Sus scrofa: one gene and its partner. The protein of the gene in region 2 purifies or fractionates together with the protein of the main gene of each other region. This does not show direct contact. Links are inferred from orthologs where the notes say so. Each region holds a gene or a part of one and is shown on either strand. Other genes may lie near its edges.

What was found.
Region 1: the proteins of KCMF1 (region 2) and ACOT9 purify together in Homo sapiens (affinity purification with mass spectrometry; 3 studies listed by BioGRID and IntAct, with this or other methods). This does not show direct contact. The link is inferred for Sus scrofa from reciprocal best matches to the Homo sapiens genes KCMF1 and ACOT9.

The regions. Positions count from the first base shown.
Region 1 is NC_010461.5:19,859,262-19,863,532, reverse strand, and holds the start of ACOT9 (acyl-coenzyme A thioesterase 9, mitochondrial), read left to right. Parts: upstream 1-1,471; 5' UTR 1,472-1,599; coding exon 1,600-1,625; exon of another isoform or gene 1,626-1,926; coding exon of another isoform or gene 1,927-1,946; intron 1,947-4,271. UniProt on the Homo sapiens protein: Mitochondrial acyl-CoA thioesterase. Catalyzes the hydrolysis of acyl-CoAs into free fatty acids and coenzyme A (CoA), regulating their respective intracellular levels. Regulates both mitochondrial lipid and amino acid metabolism.
Region 2 is NC_010445.4:59,652,938-59,656,437, reverse strand, and holds part of KCMF1 (E3 ubiquitin-protein ligase KCMF1), read left to right. Parts: intron 1-2,352; coding exon 2,353-2,520; intron 2,521-3,500. UniProt on the Homo sapiens protein: E3 ubiquitin-protein ligase which accepts ubiquitin from an E2 ubiquitin-conjugating enzyme and then transfers it to targeted substrates, promoting their degradation by the proteasome.

The sequences.
Region 1 (4,271 bases), on a different chromosome or scaffold from region 2:
AGATCCGAGCTGCATCTGCAACATACACTACAGCTCACAGCAACGACGGATCCTTAACCCACTGAGCAAGGGCAGGGATCGAACCCACAACCTCATGTTTCCTAGTGGGATTCATTAACCACTGAGCCACGACAGGAACTCCAGATGAGGGTTTTAGTATCTGCAAAACAAATCAAGGACATGGTTCAGGATAGTATCTATAGCTCTTTTTATTACCCCCTCGGGCGCACCTGTAGCATATGGAAGTTCCTGGGCCAAGGTCAAATCTGAGCCGGAGCTGCCACCTATGCCACAGCTGAAGCAAACACGGAATCAGTAACCCACCGCACCAGGCCAGGTATCGAACCTGTGCTGCCACAGAGAAAAGCCGGATCATTAACCCATTTTGCCCCAGCAGGAACTCCTATTTATATCTCTTGAGGAGGAACTAAAGATCCTTGCCTTTGCTTTATGGCTAAACTATTATTATTTGGTCTTGCTTGCTCGTCTTCCTTTGTTTCTGCATTTTCTCACTTCTATGATTAAATTTGCTCCTTGGTATTGGGGAAAGTCTAGGATGCTAAAGCTTTTCTATAAACCAGAGGCAGGGGAAACCGTGTGGGGTGGGGTAGGAACTGTCCCTGGTAAGGCACTATAGGGTCCTGCTCGGTTTCAGTATAGCTGCCACAAAGCAAAACAAAGTCATCACTGAAAAAGGTACAGACAGTATGAACAAAAAGCAAAGTGAGATTCCTGCAGGCCAAAAGGAGAGTCTTCTGGATGTGGGACTGATAAAAGAAGGGAAAGTTAGGTGAAGAGGAAAGAGGAAGCCAAAGATCATGTTTCATTTGTAATTCATGAAGTAATTTTTTTTAAAGCCAGCTTAATTAAAATTCACAATTTTTTTGTAAGCACGGTGTTATCAGAAAAAGCATATAATATCGACCCTGCCTTTTAGGAAATTACCATCTTCCAAGACGTGCATACATACTCTGGAAAGATCCCCTCTCATTACATTATTTTATTTCCTCTTTAGATGGCTTTATCACATTTGAAATTATAATTTGCTAAGGTAAGCCCCCTAACGGTAGAGAGTTTGTCAAATTTGTTGCATGTCCAGAATCTTCAGACAGCGTCCTGCGCACTGCAAACAGCTATTTGAATAAGAATTCGTTGAATGAAATGGAGAATCAGATCATAGGGTAAAATCATCTTAACTCTCTGGCCTTGAATCTCTCCGGGCGGCCCAAGATCTCCAGCTGTCAAACACTAGGGGGCAGACCGAGATTAGAAGAGGAACGTTTTTTCCTTTTCCGTCAGAAATTCTCAGCTTTTGCTTAGGGTAGCATCACCGAGGGCGCCTTTAGACATCCTGAAGACCAGGCCGCACCCCTGACTAAATCAGAATCTCCAGAGGGTGGGGCCCAGGCATTGGTATTTTGGAAAGCTGCCCATTAGATTCCTACGTGCAGCTAAGGGCGGACCTGAGGCCGAGGGGTGGGGGTTAAGGTCTTGTGACCTTCAGCGAAGCCGGAAAACGGTGACAAGCTTTTAAGGACGCGGTCGCACTTCGCCCCTACGTCACGGCCTGGCGGTGCTGCCCGGTGTATTTCATCAACCATGGAGGAGATGGGCCAGTCCCCGAGGTAGCAACATGCCCCGCGATGCTGACCACGGCGGGGAAGCAACAAAGATAAACTCAAGCTTCACGCTCTTGAGCCGGGAGGCAGGCGCAGCGTGGCCCCGCCCCCGAACGAGACCCCGCCCCGGGCAGCGTGGCCGTCCCTCCTCGCCCCCCCATCCCGCGGCCGGGCTGTAAGGGTGCGGTCCTGGGGAGCGAGGTCCGGTCTGGCGCGCGTGCTCTCTCTGTCTCTCCATCTCGAGCTCTCCATTGCCTCAGTTTCCCTCCACCGGCGCGCGGGGCCCAGGTCTCTCTGGCAGAGCGCAATGAGGCGGGCGGCGCTGCGGTAGGTCGCCGGGGGGGCTGGCGGGGAATGGACCGAGAGGCGCCCACGGCAGCCCTCCACGCTGCTAGCTGGCACCGACGGAAGGAGTGGGCCGCGGCGGGCGGGGCTCATGCTTGGGGCTTTGGGGCAGAAAATGGGGCCGGGTGGGGAAGGGCGCCAGCCCACCGCCTACCGGGACCCCGCTGGCTTGGGGAGGGCTACTGCGCTCCTCCCCTTGGCGCTTTGTAGCCCTGAGTTTGATATTAAAAGTGAAGCGGCGCTATAAGGGAGAAAGTTGGTGGTGTTCCCTGACATTTCTTTCTCCTTGCTCTTCGGGGTGTGGTTTAGGGTTAGCGCCTTGTCAGAAAGCTGGTATTTAGAGTTCCACATTACTTTTCCAGCCATCAACCCTCCTCTGGAGAACATTAAAGACTCTTGACCCACGCGGACTCTGACTAAAATGTGTTGTAATGTGGGCAGAGATTGTAGGGCACCTTTTGTGCTCTCAGGGCCTCAGGATTGTGTGCCCTTGGCGCTGACTTTACCCTTGATGAACAGAAAGGACCCTTAAGGCTAGGTGCGGGGAGTGGCTTTGTTTGGGCCCCTTGGACAAAAGAGGATGCTTTTTTCTTTTAAGTCTTTGCCCCAGCTTGCCAGGTGAAGGCCTAGGACTTTGAACTCGGGGCACGTCTTGCTCCCCCTCCCAAGGCCCCTTCATCTGATCACTCCAGCTGTTCCAAATTCTTTCTGTCTGGTTGAGTCCCAGGGGGCTCACCCCTGTTTCAGCTTCTGAATTCATCCCCGTACAGGTAAGCCAGCCCTCTTGGTGTGGCCCACAGTGGTTCCAACCAACAATGTCCCCCATCAGTTCTTTTGGGGGCCCTGGAGCTCTGAGCTCTCTAATTGTCCCTGTGCACCTAGCTGTCAGTTGAAAAAGGCTCCTCCTCCTCTCTCTCACTTACTTTGTTATACTTTTTTTTTTGTGTGTGTTTTAGGGCCGCACCCACAGCATATGGAAGTTCCCAGGCTAGGGGTCAAATTGGAGCTACAGCTGCGGGCCTCCGCCAAAGACAGAGCAATGCAGGATCTGAGCTGAGTCTGCGACCTACACCACAGCTCACAGCAAAGGTGGATACTTAAACCACTGAGCAAGGCCAGGGATGGAACCCGTGTCCTCATGGATTCTAGTCGGGTTGGTTACCGCTGAGCCACTATGGGAACTCCTACTTTGTTACACTATTTGAAGACAGGTTGAAGGTCATTGCAAGAAGGGCCACAGTTGGCTTCAGCTTGCATTGGACATGGCATGACAGGCTTCCACAAGCTCCAGGGGTTTTGACCATGTGCCTTCTCCCAGGAAACCTGTCTTGATTTCCTCTCCCTCAATTTGGAAGTCCTCTGTCTTTGCACTGAACTCCTGTCAGCCTGCCATTCCTTTTTTTGTGAGAACTGTTGAACCTTAAGAAGGTATTCCTTTAGTGTCTAGTGAGAGAAAGAGTACATAAATTAATACAGGCTAAGATGATTAGGTCATTCGACTGGTGGGCAGTCTTTGTAACTTTTTTCCCCCGGCTCACAAAAGAGTTACCTGAATTTTTTTAGTCTCTAAATTGAGGCATTTTCCCAGAGTGGTGGTCATATGAGTGGCATTGCCTGTTGTACTGAAAATTCTTCCCAGACACTCATTGTAAGCTTGGAATCTAGAACAGCTAAGACGCTTTTGTTCATATCTTCAGGTGACTTTTGTGACTCCGTTGGCTAGCCATGGAGAGGTTGGGCTCCTTGGTCTCCTTTTGAAATTGGAAAGGTTCAGTCATGGGGTCCTAGGACCTGACTGTCCTAAAGGCCTCTGGACAGTTTCTTCTAAACATCCAGAGGATTTGTTGTTGGTAAAACTCCTGAGGGCTTTTCAGGGAATAAGCCAGTAACCTTAAGGTCCTGAGGTGTTGGGCAGTGATTAAACCACTCTGCTCCCTCCACTTCAGTGTTTCCTAAATAAAGGGAAGTAGCCTGAGACTGAAAAGAGCAGCTACCCTGCACCTGTGTGCTTGTGTGTGCGTGTGTGTAAGTGTAAGGAGTGGGGGTTGGGGTCACAAGAACTGGGCTCTATCCATTGTGCCAGTTGACTGACAGTGGGAAAGTCATCTAATTCCTTTGGGCCTCAGTTTTTTCAGGAGTTTGGTCTGCCTCAGAATTTTTTAAATCTAGAGGCACATGGGGGTGTCAAAGGGGGTGATCTGTGAATCATCTGAAATAGTATATGCTGTTGGGTGTGTCAATAAAAAAAAATGTATCTATCTCCCACCAAACTACTGGCCATAAGGATCCACCATTTTCATCACATTT
Region 2 (3,500 bases):
TTCCTCACTGATCTCTAATGACCTTTTACTATCATGAAACAGATTTCAATGTGGGGCTTTCTATTCTGTTCCTTTGGTCAGTTCATCTGTCTCTATGCCAAGACATTTTATCTTAATTACTGTAGCTTTGTATTAGTAGCTCTTGATTTGTTAAGCAGATCCCTCCATCTTGTTATTCTTTTTTTTTTTTTTTTTTTTTTTTTTTGCTTTTTAGGGCCGCACCCTCAGCACATGGAGGTTCCCAGACTAGGGGTCCAGTCAGAGCTACAGCTGCCAGCCTGCAACACCAGCTCCTTAATCTGCTGAGTGAGGCCAGGGATCGAACCCACAACTCATGGTTCCTAGTTGGATTCGTTTCCACTGTGCCACAATGGGAACTCCATCAAATGGCATTTTTTTTTTTTTTATTGTGGTAAAATATGCATGACCTAAAATCTGTCATTTTAATGCTTTTTACATGTACATTTTGGTGGCATTGGTACCTTTGCATTGTACAACTATTACCATTATCCATTTCCAGAATTTTTCATCATCGCAAACTGAAACCCAGTAAACAGTACCCCCCTTCCACCCACCTCTAGTAAACCACTCTTCTGCTTTGTTTTTTTTCTGTGAATTTGACTAGTCTAAGTACCTCATGTAAGTAGAATCATAAATGGGGCGTTTTAAAAAATATTTTTATCTCATTTGGAATGAAGAAACTAATTCTATTTAATTGGTTTTTTACTTTAAGCAACCTTGCTTAAAATGCTTTATTCTAAACACTTAGCTGTATTCAGGAGTTCCTATTGTGGTGCAGCGGAAACGAATCCAACTGGGAATCATAGAGTTTCGGGTTTGATCCCTGGCCTCACTCAGTGGGTTGAGGATCTGGCCTTGCCATGGGCTGTGGTGTAGGTCTCAGACGAAGCTCTGATCTGGCGTTGATGTGACTGGCCTAGGCCAGCAGCTGCAGCTCCAATTGGATCCTAGTCTGGGAACTTCCATATGCCACAAGTGTGGCCCTAAAAGGCAAAAAAAAAAAAAAAAAAAAAAAAAATAGCTGTATTGGGGTTTTCTATACAAATAAGTATGTCATATATGAATAAAAGGCTTTCCTACCATTAAACCTGCCCATTGAGATTTAAATTGTAATTAATTTTTTTCTTTTTACATTTAGACATTTGGTTCATTTTGTTTTCTTTCCTTTTATTCTGGGCTGCACCAGTGGCATTCAGAAGTCCCTGGGCCAGGGATCGAACCTGAGCCACAGCAGTGACAACTCTTGAGTCCTTAACTGCTAGGCCATCAGGGAACTCTTTGGCTCATTTTCATATCTGTTGGTTGCCTCTTTTTTTTCAAGCTCCTTTTAAATGTTAAGTATATTTGGTATTCAATTCTGATACAAACCTTTGCCAGTCTGATTCCACTCTCTGTTTCTGCTACTTCTTTCTGATGGTGTTTTTTTGTTGGTGGTGGTATCTCGTGTATGAACTCTTATTCCTTGGAATTTTGTTTCTGCCAGATGCTTGGCGGCAGTTCTAGTTCAGGATCACTTTAAGTTAAATTCTTGAAAGTTCCCTTGTGGTGCAGTGGGTTAAAGATCTGGTGTTGCCACAGCTGTGGCATAGGCCACAACTTCAACATGCTTTCACTTCCCTGATCTGGGAACTTCTGTATGCCGTGGCCAAAATAATAATAATAATAATAATAATAATAATAAAATAAATTCTTCACCAGAAACCATTTGGAAGTCTGAATTTAGGCTCTTTACTTATAACCACAAACCAGCCCAGACTTCTTATAAGTCTTTTGTTGTTTTTTGTTTTTTGTTGTTTCGTTTTTTTGTTGTTGTTTCGTACCTAGTGGGAGGAGAATTTCACAGGCGAGTTTTGTAATCCCTAAGGAGGATTTTTAGCTCACCTGTATACTGAGGGTATATTAGCGTCTAAGCTTTGTAAGGAATTGCCTATCAGACACCCCACCATGGTAGACATTGGTGTTTGCTTCCTATGCTTTGTTTTTCCTGTAATACTGTGAAAATCTAAGCTCAGATTTTTCCAGGTAGATGCCCACCTCCTTTAGTGATTCCAGTTACCTGTTCCTCTTTCACTTGGTTTTTTATCCTCTTCCTAGTTCATCAAGACATTTGAAAAGTTGTTCTACATTTTGTCAGACATGAAGTTATTTTCATTAGGAGTGTAAATCCAGTAATAAATCCACTATATTGTTGAAAGTTCCCATATCATTTTACTATGTTGTTTCTAGTCATTTTGGAAAGGAAATATGGGGTTAGAAGTGCAGCTTTATAAAAATGAAATGGAGAATGGCCTTTTATGACTGCTAATTAATACTATTTCTTTTTCCTTATAGGTGTCAGCTGTGATGCATGTTTAAAAGGAAATTTTCGAGGTCGCAGATATAAGTGCTTAATTTGCTACGATTACGATCTTTGTGCATCTTGTTATGAAAGTGGTGCAACAACAACAAGGCATACAACTGACCACCCAATGCAGTGCATATTAACAAGGGTAGATTTTGGTACGTATTTATTTAAAATTCTGAATTATCATTTAGAATTGTGTGTATGTGTGAAGAAGTAAAGGCACAGTATTCTAACTCATTCCCAGTAGCATATGTGAGGCACCAAATTCTCTAAAAATAACATGAATCTTACTTTCATATTCCAAGTAATTATTTATCTTAATCATAGTTTATTTATGAAAGCCATTTGGAAATAAATACAACTGGCAAAGTATGAAATAGAAGAGTGCCTCAGTAAAGAAGGAATAAAGCTTAAACTGATTGTTCTTGCTAACAGTACACAAGTATTATTGCTCTAGTTATCAGGAAGCAGGTTATTTCTGCTGTTGATGCACTGTCAGCTAATAAGAAAAGCTTTAAATATTACCATGCTGTAATTTCTTACTTAGCACTTGTTACTCTCTGTCTTTTTTCAATTTAGATACACCTGTGGCATGTGGAAGTTTCTGGGCCAGGGATCAACCCATGCTGCTGCAGTGACAGTGCCAGATCCTTAACCCACTGCACCACAATAGAACTCCTATTATCTGTCTTCTTTGATTTGATTATAGCCATCCTAGTGGGTGTGAAGTTGTGGTGTCTCATGTAGTTTTGATGCTTGGTCATATTGACCATCTTTCCCTGTGCTGATTAGTTATGTGTATAAATGTCTATTCAGATCCTCGGCCCATTTTTTAATGGGGCAATATATCTTTTATTATTGAGATTTCATTGTTCTTTGTATATTCTGTATACAAGTTCCTTACAGATGGATGGTTTGCAGAAATTTTCTCGCATTCTGTGGCTTATCTTTTCCCTTTCTTGATGGTATGTTTTGAAGCACAAAAGTTTTAATTTTGATGTTAATTTTGGGGGGGGGGTGTCGTATCTAGGAAACCATTACCTAATCCAAGATCATGAAGAATTAAAACTGTGTTTTCATGTAAGAGTTTTATAATTTTAGTATTTACATTTAGATTTTGATACATTTTGAATTA